Linked DNA regions of Oreochromis niloticus. The protein of the gene in region 1 binds, or shares a complex with, the protein of each later gene. Links are inferred from orthologs where the notes say so. Each region holds a gene or a part of one and is shown in the gene's direction. Other genes may lie near its edges.

Region 1 (7,743 bases):
GAACAACAGTTTTCAGTCAAGAGATGTGCATCTGGAGTGCTCTATTTTTCCCCTATCCCAAAGCTCTGCACGGCTTGGGCCTCCCTGTGCTTGCATGACATGGAAGTATATTTTTTGTTGTGCATGTAGATCAATTTTTTGAAATAATCCTCTTGTTTACACATGGATGGTGATGTTAATATATTTAAGAATTTAATGGTATACAATATGGATGTTGCCAAACTTTGGTAAATGTACACATATTATGAGAGGTAATCCAACTGAACTGAACTACATGTAACTTTTTGTATTTTACCCGGGTCAGCGAGATGCTTCGATTCCAGTAAAAGTTGCATATCTGATCCTGTCTCAAACTGCCACACACTGTACTCAGCTTAAAGGGGAAAATTTGATGTTTTTTTTTTTTTTTTTTTCCTTTTGTATATAAGTATTTGTTAAATGCAGTTCTGGCTCTCTGTTCTCTGTATAGTTCAGACCGCGCTTTAGTTTGTAAGTGCTACTTTTCTCTGAGGGACTTGGGTTCTTTTTAGTTTGTGTGGGGATATGAGAAGATTTAAGTTTGAGAACTTTTTTTTTTTTCCTTTTTCTGCATGCTGCATCTTATGCTGTGGGACTGTTGGAAACTTGATACTGTATGAAAAATAAAATTTAAATAAACTTTGAAATGTTGAAAGTATTCTATTTGACTGTCCTTTTTTTTTAAAATTTTAAACCTGACCAAGATGTGACTGACTAGACTTGTATCTTCATTCACCAGGAAAGAAGAGTACACACATGCTTCGTTTAGTTTTTTTTAAACACATTTGCACAAACACATACTTTCAGATTCTCTTAATGCACGTATCATAATTTTATTAATCATATTTGATACCAGCTGATCCAGAAACCATGAGATCATTACAGAAGAACCCAAGGTATCAGTCCAAAGGGCAGTGACGGTCTCAACTCAACACAGATCCCACATAGGAATTCCACCAGCCAATAGGGGAAGATAAATACATATGGTAACCAATCATGGTTCAGGTTTAGAATCTCTCTGCAGTCCTGCTAGCCACCACTCTGATGTTGCCATAGACCTTTGAAGGTGGACTTCCTGTAGGGGCAAAAGGGATTTAAAGGTCACTTCTCAGCATTAATGTGTAAACAAAGAGTTCAATTCCAAATATGGTTAGTGCTAGATTCGATGGATTTGCTGTCAGGTGACTGATGCTCTCAACACTGGAAAAGGCTGCACAGCAGTTAAATAGGTCAGTTCTGGACTTGGCTAAACTGTTTGTTCAATGTTTTAGGGTTGTTTTCTTTAAGCTGACTGTCAGCTTATAAAAAAAAAAAGTAAGAAATTAGATTTTTGCACTCCTTACGGAAAACAGTGTTACAACAGGTCTTTTTAAACATTCCATGGTTTCATCCCAATGCTTGATTGCCGAGCCTCTTTTGATTTAGGCACTTTTACTGCTGCATTTAAATATATATCAGATCAAAACTGAAATCTATAAAATAAGAATTCACAGGGGAGTCTTATAATCTAAATTTCAATGTTTAAATGAGTACCTCAAAGTGAATAAATATCACCATTAGTACTTGTACTTCTCAGGGAGTAACGGTATTTGAGACAGACTGTCCACCCAGCTCATCCAATAAAGCACCACCTCAATAGCATCAACCACATGATATACTGTGCTATAAAAACAATGCTCGTCTTACCTAAGATTAAGTTGCATATCGCTGTCCGGGCCATCTTGATATTCTGGAAAGATCCTAATACGTGAACTTTTCTGTAGACAGACAAAGCAGAGTGTTAGCCGTTTCAGTGAAAAATGAATAACAGGCACATAACTAGAAAACATACTGCAGGTATGGATGTATGCAAAAGGTTGTGTATATTGTCTTTAGAGTACCCACACAAACTTCTGCGTGAGAGGGTAAAATATAATTTGTGTGAGGAAAAACTGTTAGTAAGTAATATATTATGATAGTATGTTTATGCACTTATTGACAAAACAAATCGGGCCAGTTTATTTTATTTTTTTAAGTTTAATTACAAAGAAGTAAAGCTCTTCTTTACAGAGTTTCTTTGCAAGATCTGTATTGGAGTTCAATATTTATCATGACTAAAACAATGCAAGAGAAAAAAAACCAATCAAAATGTTTGATTAATGCTGCAGTGAAACTGTGTCAACTTCAAAAAGGTGGTTAAGGAAAATTAATAAGGGATTAATAAGCAAATGATGTGGAAAAATAATTAGTAATTTTACTGTAACATGTCAAAATACTGGATTTACTCACGTGTCTGCAAGCACAATGCGAGTCTTTGTGACGTTTTCAATGGTGAATTTGGTTTTTCCTCCCTTCCCTGCTATTCTTCCAATAGCTCTGGATAAGTGGTCTCCCTTCAGAGGTTTCACTGCCAAAACATGGGAGAACAATTAAATGGATCTCGAGAGGTTGAACATTGTATTCTTCACGCAGCAGGGAAAGAGAACTGGTAAGAAATTATGACGACTCTAACAGCAGCCACAAGTGCTACGGAGGTGGAAACTCACCGTCTGTGACATCAAAGCTTTCAAGGAAGAGCTCATCTAATCTAATGAGAGCCAGAGCATCCTGAGGGGAGAGAGTGTGAATGTTACATCACGAGTGACAATCCAGCAAGGCTCAAAATTAACAATCAAATACTGTCACAGCTTCTAAAGATAATTTACACATTTAGACAAAGCAAAAACAACTACAAGTCACTTTATGGAGGCTACTGACAGGGAGGAAACTTTTATTGTATTAATAGTAGATTATATAACAACACTGAGCTGAAGTAAGTGTCAGTCAAGTGTCTCTAATACTGTCCCAAAACTTGACTTTTGGCTTGACAAATACACATTCAGTACAAAAGCAGTCAGGCAGAATTAAAACATGCAGAAAACTCATGTACTTACTTCAACCTGAAATCCGAGAACAAACGCTTTAACAAAATCAGCCGCTCTTTGGAGTGAGGTGATGTCCTGTGTTTCTTTACATGTCTGAAAGAAAGAAGGCATATTAGTTATATCAGAGATGAAATACTGTATATAAGCATTGTAATAAATAGGCTCAGTCAACTCACCAGAGTCTACATGAAATGGGAGAAACCTACCTTGATTTCAACATTCCTTGTTTTGAGGTTGAATCTAACTTGAAGTTGTAGGTTCTCTACAATGGGAGTGAAAATCTTCAGCCAGTTATCTTTCAGCGGTGTGTATCTGTGAGCTGGAACTGGGATTTTGCGCATCTCATCTGATCCCTTAGAAAACAAACAAACAAATACACAGAACATTTCTGATCATACGGTGTAATGTTAGCAAAACTATTCTATGACATTTGGTTAGGATTTATCAGAAAACATCTTTGCTTTGTAACCCGAAGTCAAAGCAATGCTGTAACGAATGTAACATGTTTACAATTGTTTAATGTGGTGATTCTTTTTTTCCGCTTAACTGTCTGATCTTTAAATCATCAGGAAACAGTGAAAAAAATTGTCATCATAACAGAAACCACTAATCCACAACAGAAGGAGAAAGAGAGATTGCTGAGTACATATAAACAGCAACCCCGGGTTTCTATTGTGCCTGACGGTGCATTTAATTACTGAAACATTCATATGCACTCTTAATTTCAAAGTTTCTAATTAATCCTCGGAGTACTGGACTGATATTAACCACGAGTCATTTATGCGTTTTGTTTTCCTAACTGTATTTTTACTTTAGTAGCCAGTGCTTTAAACAGTCAGAGTACTGTGTAGTGAAATCATAAGTATTATAATAATAGTCACGACCTACACACAGTATTTGTTGTGTATTTGAATATTCTACTTGGGCAACCACACTACCACAACAGCAGCTTTATTTAATGTATTCACATGACTACACCGCGCGTGCGCATAATAGTTAATGGTTCGGTCGGGGAAGCTACTTTGTAAACATTACAAATAACATTAAATGTACACTTATTGGTATTTATTTGACAAAACCGAGAGAATACACAGAGTCTATATATACTCATGGTGTAGTTACCCGTAATTTGTCTCCTGAAATGGGCGGAAACTGCGGTCGTTTGCTTGCCACGGGCTCCTCTGTGTCCATGCTCGCTCCATCTTGTTCACGTTTTCGCTTCTGAGACTTTTTCGACTTAACCTTTGTGAAAGAATCGGCGTCATCTTTGCTCTCCTGGGGTGCTACAGCGTCCGGGACTGGGTTTTTGTCGTTGTCCATCTCGAAAAATGTTTTTAAAATCAGACTTTGAGTAGAAACCTAAGCAGACTGTGAACGGAGACGCGTGAGCATGTCCTCGTGGGACGAAAAGGACCCAAACAGCCACATCAACGACGCCTGTAGATTGGGAGGTAACAAAATTATATTATTATAACTATCTAGGATGTCTCTAGTTGTCTTTAGAATTGAATGCAGGCTGTTTATATATTTTTTCATATAATTTTTGTACCAAAATACATAAATATTTTATTGAAAGATACACATTTTGTCAGGCATCTGTTAAGGCAGCCGCTTGCTCAGCTGTACCTAGTTTGTTTTGGGAGAGAGCGACAGTTGTCTACTTTTTCACGCCGATACCAGTGTTTCTCAGAAAAATGTCATCGCCGCTGTCGAAGCCTCAGATTATTACGCATATTCAGAAGAGTTTGAACTATACGGTTTTTGACAGTAAATGGATTCCCTGCAGCGCGAAGTTTGTCTGTCTGGGAAACTTTCCTAGTGGAACCGGAGTGATTCAAATATATGAAGTTCACCAAGGCGAGGCTCAGCTCATAAAGGAGGTACATTAACGTTCTACTCTTGTGGGCCGTTGTTCCTTTCTTTTCTCTCAGAGATTTCATACAAACGGCGTACAGAGCTAGCTAGCCCGTCGAAGATTTCTAGAAAAGTCTGGCAAGGATGTTTCCATGACAACAATTTGAAGGCAGCCAGTGCCCGTTCAATATTGTTCTACTGTAGATTATCCTAGGGTTGGCATACTTTATCCAGATTATACTTAAAAAGCAAATACTACAGCATCACTTGCAACGAGTAAAATATTGCTATGCTGCCACCAATGTATCGTACTACAAACAAAACTTACTGTTGTAGTTTTGCACCATGGCATGTGTGCCAGGCATCAAGATACAGATAAAGGAGAGCAAACGTAACAAAACGTGCATAAACATGATTCTTTTATACTTATCTTGCCTGTTTGTTTCAAATGTAGGTAGGTCATTTTGCTGCTAAAGCTTGAACCAAGAGTGCCTGCATGAGACGGTGCTGTGAAAAAGTATTTGCCCTCTTCCCAATTTCTTATGTTCTTGCATATTCGTCACGCATGTTTCAAATGATCAAGCAAATGTTAGTGTAAGACAAGAACGTCTTAGTTAAGGTCAGTGTTCATGATTCAATGATAAGAAAGAGAATCGGTAAAAATGGCATCTATGGGAGAGTTCCGTAGTGAAAACCAAAATGAACACAAAGGGCCATCTCACATTAGGTAAAAAACAAAAACAACAAATTGATGTTCCCCATTATTCTGTGAACTGACAAAGCGAAGTTGAACTTTCTGGGAGGTTTGAATCATGTTACATCTGGCGTAATACTAACACACCATTTCATAAGAGAACATCATACCAAACAATCAAACATGGTGGTGTGATGGTCTGAGGCTGTTTTGCTGCTTTTGGCCTGGACGACTTGAATTAAAAGATTCAACCAGAAAATCCTAAAGGAGAATGCCTGACTGTCAGTTTATGCCCTGAAGCTCAAGCTCACTTGGATCATGAAAATACATTTTCACTGCACTCCTTCCACATTGCTTTTCCATTATATGTTGAATTGTCCCATTCACGAAACTAAACAAACTCTTACCTCTGATATGTTTCAGGTAGAGAAACCTAAAGCTATAAAGTGTGGAACATTTGGGGCCACGTCTCTTCAGCAAAGACACATAGCAACGGGGGATTTTGATGGAAATCTCAATATATGGTATTGTATACACCAATTATCAGTGTTGTGCCTGTAATAAGAAGAATCAAACTGGGAAAGCAAGGCTTAAATTCTATTTTTAACCAAAAAACATTTCTTATGTTTACTGTAGATCTTATATTCAACGCTGGTTCAGTCCCAAAGACAGTTATAATTCGAATGGAATTAAAAAAAATGTAAAGGAAATGATATTTTAAAAATACGTTACGTCGACATTAGACTTATTCAGTACTGATGTCCTGTGGTTCACAGGAATCTAGAGACCCCGGATGTGCCCGTATATGCTGTAAAGGCCCACAAAGAGATAGTGAATAGTATTGATGGTGTTGGTGGTCTGGGGATTGGTGATGGTGCGCCTGAGATCGTCACCGGAAGCAGAGATGGTAAGAGCATTTAAAAAAACAAACAAAAAAAAACTAGATTGTAATTACTTTTCAGTGCAATGATAGTGGGAAAGTAAAGTACATGAAAATAAGACTAGATCCTACATGATTGTCTTTTAATAGGTACAGTAAAAGTGTGGGATCCGAGACAGAAGGATTCCCCTGTAGCCAACATGGAGCCAATGGAAGGAGAAACCAAGAGGGACTGCTGGACTGTTGCTTTTGGTTTGTAAAATATTCTTCAGAAACTAAGTTGATAGTGCTGGTGCTTCACCTACTTCCATGGTGTGCAGAAAAGAACATGAAGTCTGAAGAGGTTTAGGCTCCTGCAATAGTTGTGGTAGTATAAAGGACACTGTTACAGCTTGTGGCCCTTAACAGGGTCCTCACAGAACATTATTTTCTTAAGGGCTGAAGTACCAACATCCACAAGTAAAGTTTAAAAACATGGTCTCCACATTATCTGTATCCACAGGGACAGGAATGTAATGCATTTGTTTGATAGTGATAAGAACTAATACAGTCATGGGTTATATTAATACTAAGAAGCAGTAAAAAGATACTTATCATATATTCTATTGTGTGCAATTTCAGGGATTTCTTTATACCTAGTAAAGGGGATTATTTCTCTGAATTTCAAACAGCAGAACACAGCCCAAATGCTAGCTAGTCCCTTGGTCAAAGGTACAATGTAAGCAGAGAACATTCAAACTCCAGAGAGAAGCACCCTGTTCTGGGTCAGGCAAAGGACACTCTTGCTGTGAAGCAACAATGCTAACCTATCAGCCACCATAAATAAAGCTGCTGTAATGCACTGCATATAACTGATAAGACATGACAAACAAGGCACGGTGGTTAGCACTGTTGCCGCACAGCAAGAAGGTCCTGAGTTCAATTCCACCATCAGGCCGGGGTCTTTCTGTGTGGAGTTTGCATGTTCTCCCCGTGTTTGCGTGGGTTCCCTCCGGGTACTCTGGCTTCCTCCCACTGTCCAAAGACATGCAGCTTGTGGGGATAGGTTAATTGAATAATCCAAATTGCCACTAGGTGTGAATGTGTGAGTGTGAATGGTTGTTTGTCCCTGTATGTTGGCCCTGCGACAGACTGGCGACCTGTCCAGGGTGTACCCCGCCTCTCGCCCTATGACAGCTGGGATAGGCTCCAGTGCCCCCCACGACCCTGAAAAAAGGATAAGCGGAAGCGAATGGATGGATGGACATGACAAACAAAACTTTTTGGTTTGTTTTTCATATATACTGTTTTAAGAACATCCTGATTCATGCCCTCCAAACACGAAAGGTGCAAACAGATGGTACAGCGAAAAAAAAGCACATGAGCATGAACACCTATGAAAATGCAGCCATAAA
Region 2 (7,199 bases), on another chromosome or scaffold:
GTTGTTAAAGTAACACCTACACGTTTGCAGTGAGTGTTTTTTACATCTTGCTAGTTTTTCCTTTATTCCATATAGTGACACATTTCTGTGGCACAATAGCGTACTATTTATATCAGGCAAAATGTCAACAAGTCTCAATTTATTACCATGGTAATAACATTACCACGACCATGTTTAAGTGATAAGTTGAACATAATGTGTCTGTAATTGCAGAGGCTGCAACAAAGAAGAAAGCACAAGTCTAACAACTCTTCAGCTAAACGCAATACTTCTCAGCACAGGTGAGGTCGCAGTTTGTGCAAAGTTTGTGTTGTTCGGTGCTGTCTCAGTGCTGAGATAATAGATTTGCTTTGCCTTGTAGCACTCACAGATCCTCAGAGTCAAAGCCTCTTCCAGTGTCCCCCACAGAGGGCAGGATGGAGCCAAAGGTGCTGCCAGTCACTAAGCGCTCCAGCCACAGACAGCACAAGCATGCGGGGAGCAGAGAGGGCAAACACACAGCAGCCGTCTCCTACCACTGCATGTGTGGTTGCAGTACTGAACAGCTGGAAAGACACTCGCCAGAACTGGAGGTCAGACGCCTGAGTCGCCATGGAGAAGATGACAGTGACACCGACTTGTCTGAGTCAGAGAGACTTCCTGTGTCAGCCTGCAGTCGTGTTCCTCCTCGGCTCGAGCTCAGGCCAGAGGTCATCGAGGCCGAGGACTGCTCCTCTCGCAGCCACAGATCCAATTTGCAGGGCCATGGAGGTTTTGACTTCCCAGACTTCCTCCCTCCACCTTTTAATTCGTGGACCCTGAGTCAGCTGGCTGTTTTCTACAACATGGAAGGCCGAGGTACCCCCCGACCAAGGCCTGTGGGCCCTTTGGAAAGGTATCTGGAGAAGCTGCTGCAGCTGGAGTGGCGTCAGATCCAGACTGTCCAGGAGGAGAGTGGGAAATCAGCAGTATCAGAAGTGATATCCAGCTGTCACAGGTCCCCTGCTGCTGCCACATCACGTCTCAGCTCTCCTAAGTGCATCCTCCAGTGTCAGCGTGCCTTCCCCCTCACTTTCCTCTCCTCCCTGGCTAGTCACTCCGCCCTCCTCTCCAGCTGCGCCTGCACTCTCTGCCGGATCCGCTGCTCCCGCTGTACTGCACCGTGCTGTTGCTCGACTTACAGCCACAACCGTCAGTCCAGACCGAGTGCTGCGCTAGAGCCCAAAATACTCCCCAAAAGGAGCTACAGCGAGAGCCGGGTGCACTCCTCAGACAGGGGCTCACAAGCCCAAAGGTTCAGCAGCCCTGTGCGGACCAACAGCCACCTGAGGAGAATGCAGGCATCAGGAAACATCCGCAACCCTGTCCAAGGTGCCGCCACCAGCCTTCAACACACTGCCAGCGACTGTAATGACGTTGCCTCGAAGGGGGATGTGTGGGACTACAGGATGGGTGGGTTTCGGAGGAGGAGCGGCTCAGAGCAGAGGAGAGGTGGAGGAGACAGGAAACAGAACGGATGGGAGAAAAAACGGAGCGGCTCTGAGTGCAGAAAAGGAGGAGCTGAGAGGAGGAGAGCGGCTAACCTCAAAGAACAGGAAATAAAACCTGATGCTGTCACTGCAATAATAGACAATTTACCAGGATCCAAATATTCTCCTATACAGAGGCCAAGCAGGCCCAAACAGGTGGAGTTTGTCACATAACAGCAGGTTTAGTGATGAATGTGTAATCTGAATGTTACATACTGTCCCCACCTTAAAGTTTTATTATGGATGTACAGTCAGCAAAACTGTTCATTTGTTAATGTGATATTATTTTTCTGTGCTGTGGGGAATGTTTACACAGATATGGAAGAGAGCCGCTGGATATCCAAGTTTGTGTTTTATTTAAAAGAACCCAGATAGCATCATGTACTGTATGTGATCATATGAGGGGATTTTCACTTCAGGTTTATTAGTCTTTTGAATGAAGCAGCAAACATTACCAAAAGTTATTAAAGAATACCAAACAGTCTTGTGAAGATGGTGTATGATGCTGAGCAGGGAGAAAAGGTGAATACTGGACTCGCTGGCTTACTTGTAGGTGGAGAGCGCGGGGTCCAAGAGGTGTGTGATCGAGTGAGGTTCCAACCTCACTCTTGTTAAATAAAGGCAAGTACAGAACATAGACATAAAGTTACGAAGCAGCGAGGCCGGGTTACCTCCATGAGGTAGCTGATGAAATGGCGGAGAGTGCATATTTGCGCTGGCCTTAAGTATTGCCTCGCTGATTGGACGGCAGAACAGGTGAGGAACCAAGGCTCCGCCCACAAAACACCCGCCGCTCAGCTGGATCATGACAGGGATTTCTTCTAATCTGGATCAGACTGAAGGATAAACTGATCAGATTGAATAACTCCTATGAAAGAAAATGACACAAATGTCTGTTCAGATCATTAAACATCAAATGAATTAGACGTTCAAAAACACAAGTCTGGCCATAACTTGGGACAGAAGCAGATATTTCGAAGATGAGTCACTTTTGGTGGAAAACGGAATCGGTAACGCTAATCTTTGGGGCCCACCTATAGACTGTACAGAAAAGATGAAGCTAACTTCCAGGTCTGAAAAGTGAAGTGCCTTACAGGGGCAACTCCTCTGGATGTAGAAAGACTTACAGTTGTATGCACAAAAGAACGTGCACAAATCACTTTTGTTCTTAGCATTGATTTGAATCAATCTAAATCAACATGCTTGGCTTGCTGCTGTAGTCTGCATACTCCTACATTCCCATTTCCCCATATGAGGAAACATACGTACCTCAAGGTGAAGTGGAGAAAATAGTGAAAGCCTGCAACACTAAAAAGGAAGAGAGCAGCGGAAAGTCTGACTGATGAAAGAGATACTGTATAATTGTGTCTGATGAGGAAGGCACATTTCCAAAGTGTTCCCTAAGATGTGATGATGGTTAAAAATAAGGTGAGCTGAAATACTTAAAAAAACTTAGACTTAAAAACAACTTTTTCCACTGAGACAGTCGCTGTGGATTAAGAAAAAAAGGAAGAAAGGTCGGTCTCTTGCTAGTTTCATTGGCCTCGAGGTTGAAAAAAGTTATCTTGGGTCTCTCAAACTTTGTTTCATGAGTGGTTACTTAGAACTGAACTGGATAGGACTCATGGCAAACTCTTCACAACTTTCAAGTGAGTAAGAGTTAAGAATAACACTGGCTGACATATGACCTGGCAATAAATAGGGAAGAGAGCCTGGAATGACTGGAAGCAACCAGCTGTCAGCCTCAAAGTGATGCGAGATGAGCGAATCAATTCCAGTGTGCACACGGCTTGTTGGTCTGTTATGCACAGTCTGAGGTGCCCACATATTAAATCTCCTCAAAGTCATTAATACAGATACAAGCTCTTTGTCCATCTGTTTGAAATGCAGTGAATCCCCTCTCCGGTCTGCTGATATGGACAGGGAGATTTTGTGTTTCATATAGTTCAAGTTATTCTGCAGCAGAGTAACAATGGTAATAGTGGTATATAGTTCAATGAAGGTAAATACAGAGAAAATCATTAGGGAAAACCTGCTGTATCCTGTGAGGCAACTTATCTACTTACTGAGAGAAAAAAAATACAAATGCGAAGCCCAGAGTCTACAGGGGTGGCTCCAAAACGGACCAACAAACAGAGAAATGTACTCAAGAGTGGCTCTAAATTTAGTGTTTGAATATTGCTGTTCATCGGTCCCCATGCAGCTTTAGAGAGTATGAGCCTGAGAAGATTTTACCAAGTAGGTAAAGAAGTACAAAGAGGCAAAATCATCATCAAATCAAATCATTTCTCGCATTGCACAAGTACAGTTACTGAACTCAACTCTTCCACATAACATTTCTACACATGAGATGTGCTGCAGAACGAGCCACTTCTGTGTAATGACATGTTATGTATTTCTGTGTGTTACTGCAGAGTTTAGAGAGCGATTAACCAAAGTGCCCTTGGTCTTCCCTTGTAGATTACAGATTGTATTTACAGCACAAAAAAAACCCTCATAAAAATGGAGAAAAGTGTAAATGAGAGAGGCAAAGTGAATTTTTTTTCTTTCTTACAGATTACTCCTTTATAATGTATAAATGTTACTATTGTAACTGATGTAAACTTCGTAAGCATATACCCATGAAACGGATGGAAATGACCGTGCGGTCCTTGTAGTGTTCAGCCGTTGTTTCACACCGGACATATTTTGGAAGCGGCACTGCAACCATGGACGAGGTGTCCCAGCGTGTTTTGGAGTATTTGACTGAAGTTGAAGAGGCAGCTGAAGATGTTCTCACCACTAAACAGCAGGTAAATAAATACTGAGTTGAGGACGGCCACACGGGAGGATCGTTATGTACGTTACAGAGGTATGCTAACGTAGCCAGTGACGTCAGCTAGCTAAGTTGTCAGCTCATGGATGAGACAAAAACACATTTTTTGTCATTTAAAAAAAAATATATCTTGACACATTTTTTGATGTTTTGTGACAAATTTTCTCTCTGGATACCTCAAGGTATCACAGTAGAACTTAACAGTGGGCAGTTTGACTCGGGGTGACAAATTCCCGGCGCTCAGGTTTCACTGTCAGCTCCTGTCATCGCTCATCACCAAGATGCTAGTGGAAACCACTTTAATAATATAAAATACTAAGATATCAAAAATGTGTGGACATTTTTCACAGATACAACTTCTTTGTCAAATTATGAAGCTGCTATTTACAATGAAAGATTTTGTTTTGAATTCCATATCAAAGCAAAATAGATGTACATTCACTGGCGGTCTCATTGTTTGATCCAACTGTGTATATATATATATATATATATATATATATATATATGTGTATGTGTATGTGTGTGTGTGTGTGTGTGACATACTGTAATATGTTGCTAACTAATGCCGTCTGTTGTTCTTCTAGATTGTGGACCTGGACACAAAGAGAAACAGGAACAGGGAGGCACTTAATGCACTGAAACATGATGTAGCAGATTCAGGTGAGTACCCTCTCCCAGCAGAGCTGTGCCACAAAAAGAGTGAAACAAGAGAAGCTGTTAAAAGCACAAAACCTCACAGTGAAAGGAGAGCCAGGTGTAAAGTTTATTTTATGTGTGTTTATGCATGGAATGACATAAAACGCTGCTCACATTTGCAGAGAAAGTCAAGGTTTGCTTGGGAAGCATGTTTATCAAATTCCCCAAAGCCAAGACAAGAGAGATGATTCAGAAAGGTAAAACATTACCAAGTCATTGAATCTTGTACATATACAATTTTATTAAGAGCACATCACCCTAAACTCTTTTGATCTTTGTTGTGGTGTGTAGACCAGGAGCAGCTGGACAAAGAGATAAATGATCTTCGCAAAGGGCTGAAAGCAAAAGTGAATCGTCTCAATGAGATGCAAGGTAAGTAAGCTAGTGGCTTACTATAATAATACCTGTTAACAGTTAACCTGTTTAGTTGCAAAATGTTCCTCCAGTTATTTCTTTTTAGTACCACTTAGAATTCCAGCCTTTTGTTGCCCCGTCCCATCATGTGTTGCTGCCATCAATTTCAAAATGAGCTAATATCTTTCATGAAACGGTAAAATGTGTCAGTTTAAACATTTGACCTGTTTGATATTTTATACTGTGAATAAAATGAAACAGAAGGCAAATCAGGCAAACAATTAGTTTTTATTCACACTTTACACAGTGTCCAAACTTTTTTGGAATTGTGGTTAAATTGAATGCATCACTCTGAGCAGATGTTTGTAATGTTAATAGTATTCCACACATAGAAAAGTATTTAAGACACGCCAGTTGATTTGTGTCATCATCATAGTTAAATATGAAGAATATATGAAGGAAATCACTTTCATTCTGGTTGTATAGAAAAATAGAGGCCTCGGAGGCTCTTACTAGTACCCAGAAAGAAGCAATCCAGAAAGTCTATTTGAAAGATAGATTTGATCATAAACTGCGATTGGGAAAGAACCAAACATTGCACACAATAAAGTTCAATCGATAAATTAGATTTTATGAGGGTCCCTGGATCACAGCCTCATAAAATGCCAAACGGTTTTAGAAGGTGTGCAGTATGTTTGGGATCTTTCACAACCACTAACACCCAAACCAACTCTGAACACAGAGACACTGTGCTGCATTTAATCCTTACATACTGGTCATATTTTCATACCTAGTCTGGTCTGGGTCCAGAATATCTTCATAATGAGCGTCTACACCAAATTTTCAACTACAGATTGGTTTTGGAAGTATAAATAGCTACTAATATATTTTATATATTTTATTAGCACTTTACTAGTCCCTAAGGACCCCAAAGCACTTTACACGTTCAGTCATCCACCCATTCACACACATTCACACACTAATATATTTTAGGTCATTTTAGGAAAATCAGAATGACAGAATGACACAGATTAAATAGTCATTTAGGTTTGAAGCAGTCATAAGTCAGTGTAGCAGATAGCAGGATGTGTGGAAAGTCTGAAAACATAATCACATTTTTTAAGTGTTTTATGTGAAGTCGGATTTTAGTAAATGCTGTCTGTAAAAAAATAAAAAAAATAATGCCATGACATCTGGAATATTCCTGCAGTCTCCATAGCAAAAATGTCTTGTCTGGTCTCCAGTAACTTATGTTTGTACAGGAAGTGCAGTGTTATCTGATGGAGGTTTCATTGCTTTGATACATCATTAAACTCGCAGAATTTCTCCCAGTGGTTCTGTTGTTGGAAGCAGGAGAGGAAACTGAATCCAATCTGCCTTCAGTCAGATACCTTTAGATTCAGAGGAATAAGCAGGGAGGGGTTATGACTCAGTCATTATTCCTGTGGGAAGTCCTTCATATTATTACTGGGAAAAGTCCTCAGTCACAGTGATCTCCGTTGTTCTGTTCCTACGACTACATTTATTTTAAGGCAGTCTTATATGATCTCTTAACCTTTTTTTGTGTCTTACTGTTGCAGGAAAACCTGAGCTGAGAGGCTACAGTCTTTCTCCTCTGTCCACTGATGAAATCAGAGCTATTAACAGCCTTTTAAAGAGATGACCGGAATTCAACAAATCAATGCATCTGGGGACAAATGCCACATGTTGACATGTTGACTGCAGCACTCAGTTGTTCAAATAGGAGCACAATGTGCCAGAGCTTCAAATACACATTTGTTAAGATGAGACACACACACAAATTACAGTAGGAGGATTAGGTTGAA

What was found.
Region 2: dnaaf10 (region 1) and pdrg1 share a complex: the UniProt entries of both Homo sapiens proteins name them as parts of the PAQosome complex. The link is inferred for Oreochromis niloticus from reciprocal best matches to the Homo sapiens genes DNAAF10 and PDRG1.

What each region holds. Positions count from the first base shown.
Region 1 is NC_031978.2:9,086,591-9,094,333, reverse strand, and holds the start of dnaaf10 (dynein axonemal assembly factor 10), read left to right. Parts: upstream 1-4,528; 5' UTR 4,529-4,615; coding exon 4,616-4,801; intron 4,802-5,892; coding exon 5,893-5,993; intron 5,994-6,245; coding exon 6,246-6,376; intron 6,377-6,499; coding exon 6,500-6,601; intron 6,602-7,743. Other genes in the region: RNA-binding protein PNO1, read right to left, coding at 1,026-1,093, 1,705-1,775, 2,287-2,404, 2,544-2,604, 2,931-3,014, 3,128-3,274, 4,044-4,241. UniProt on the Homo sapiens protein: Key assembly factor specifically required for the stability of axonemal dynein heavy chains in cytoplasm.
Region 2 is NC_031970.2:37,017,791-37,024,989, forward strand, and holds the start of pdrg1 (p53 and DNA damage-regulated protein 1), read left to right. Parts: upstream 1-4,142; 5' UTR 4,143-4,216; coding exon 4,217-4,300; exon of another isoform or gene 4,301-4,344; coding exon of another isoform or gene 4,345-4,359; intron 4,360-4,907; coding exon 4,908-4,983; intron 4,984-5,141; coding exon 5,142-5,216; intron 5,217-5,310; coding exon 5,311-5,391; intron 5,392-6,953; coding exon 6,954-7,036; 3' UTR 7,037-7,199. Other genes in the region: uncharacterized protein fam217bb, read left to right, coding at 214-281, 362-1,682. UniProt on the Homo sapiens protein: May play a role in chaperone-mediated protein folding.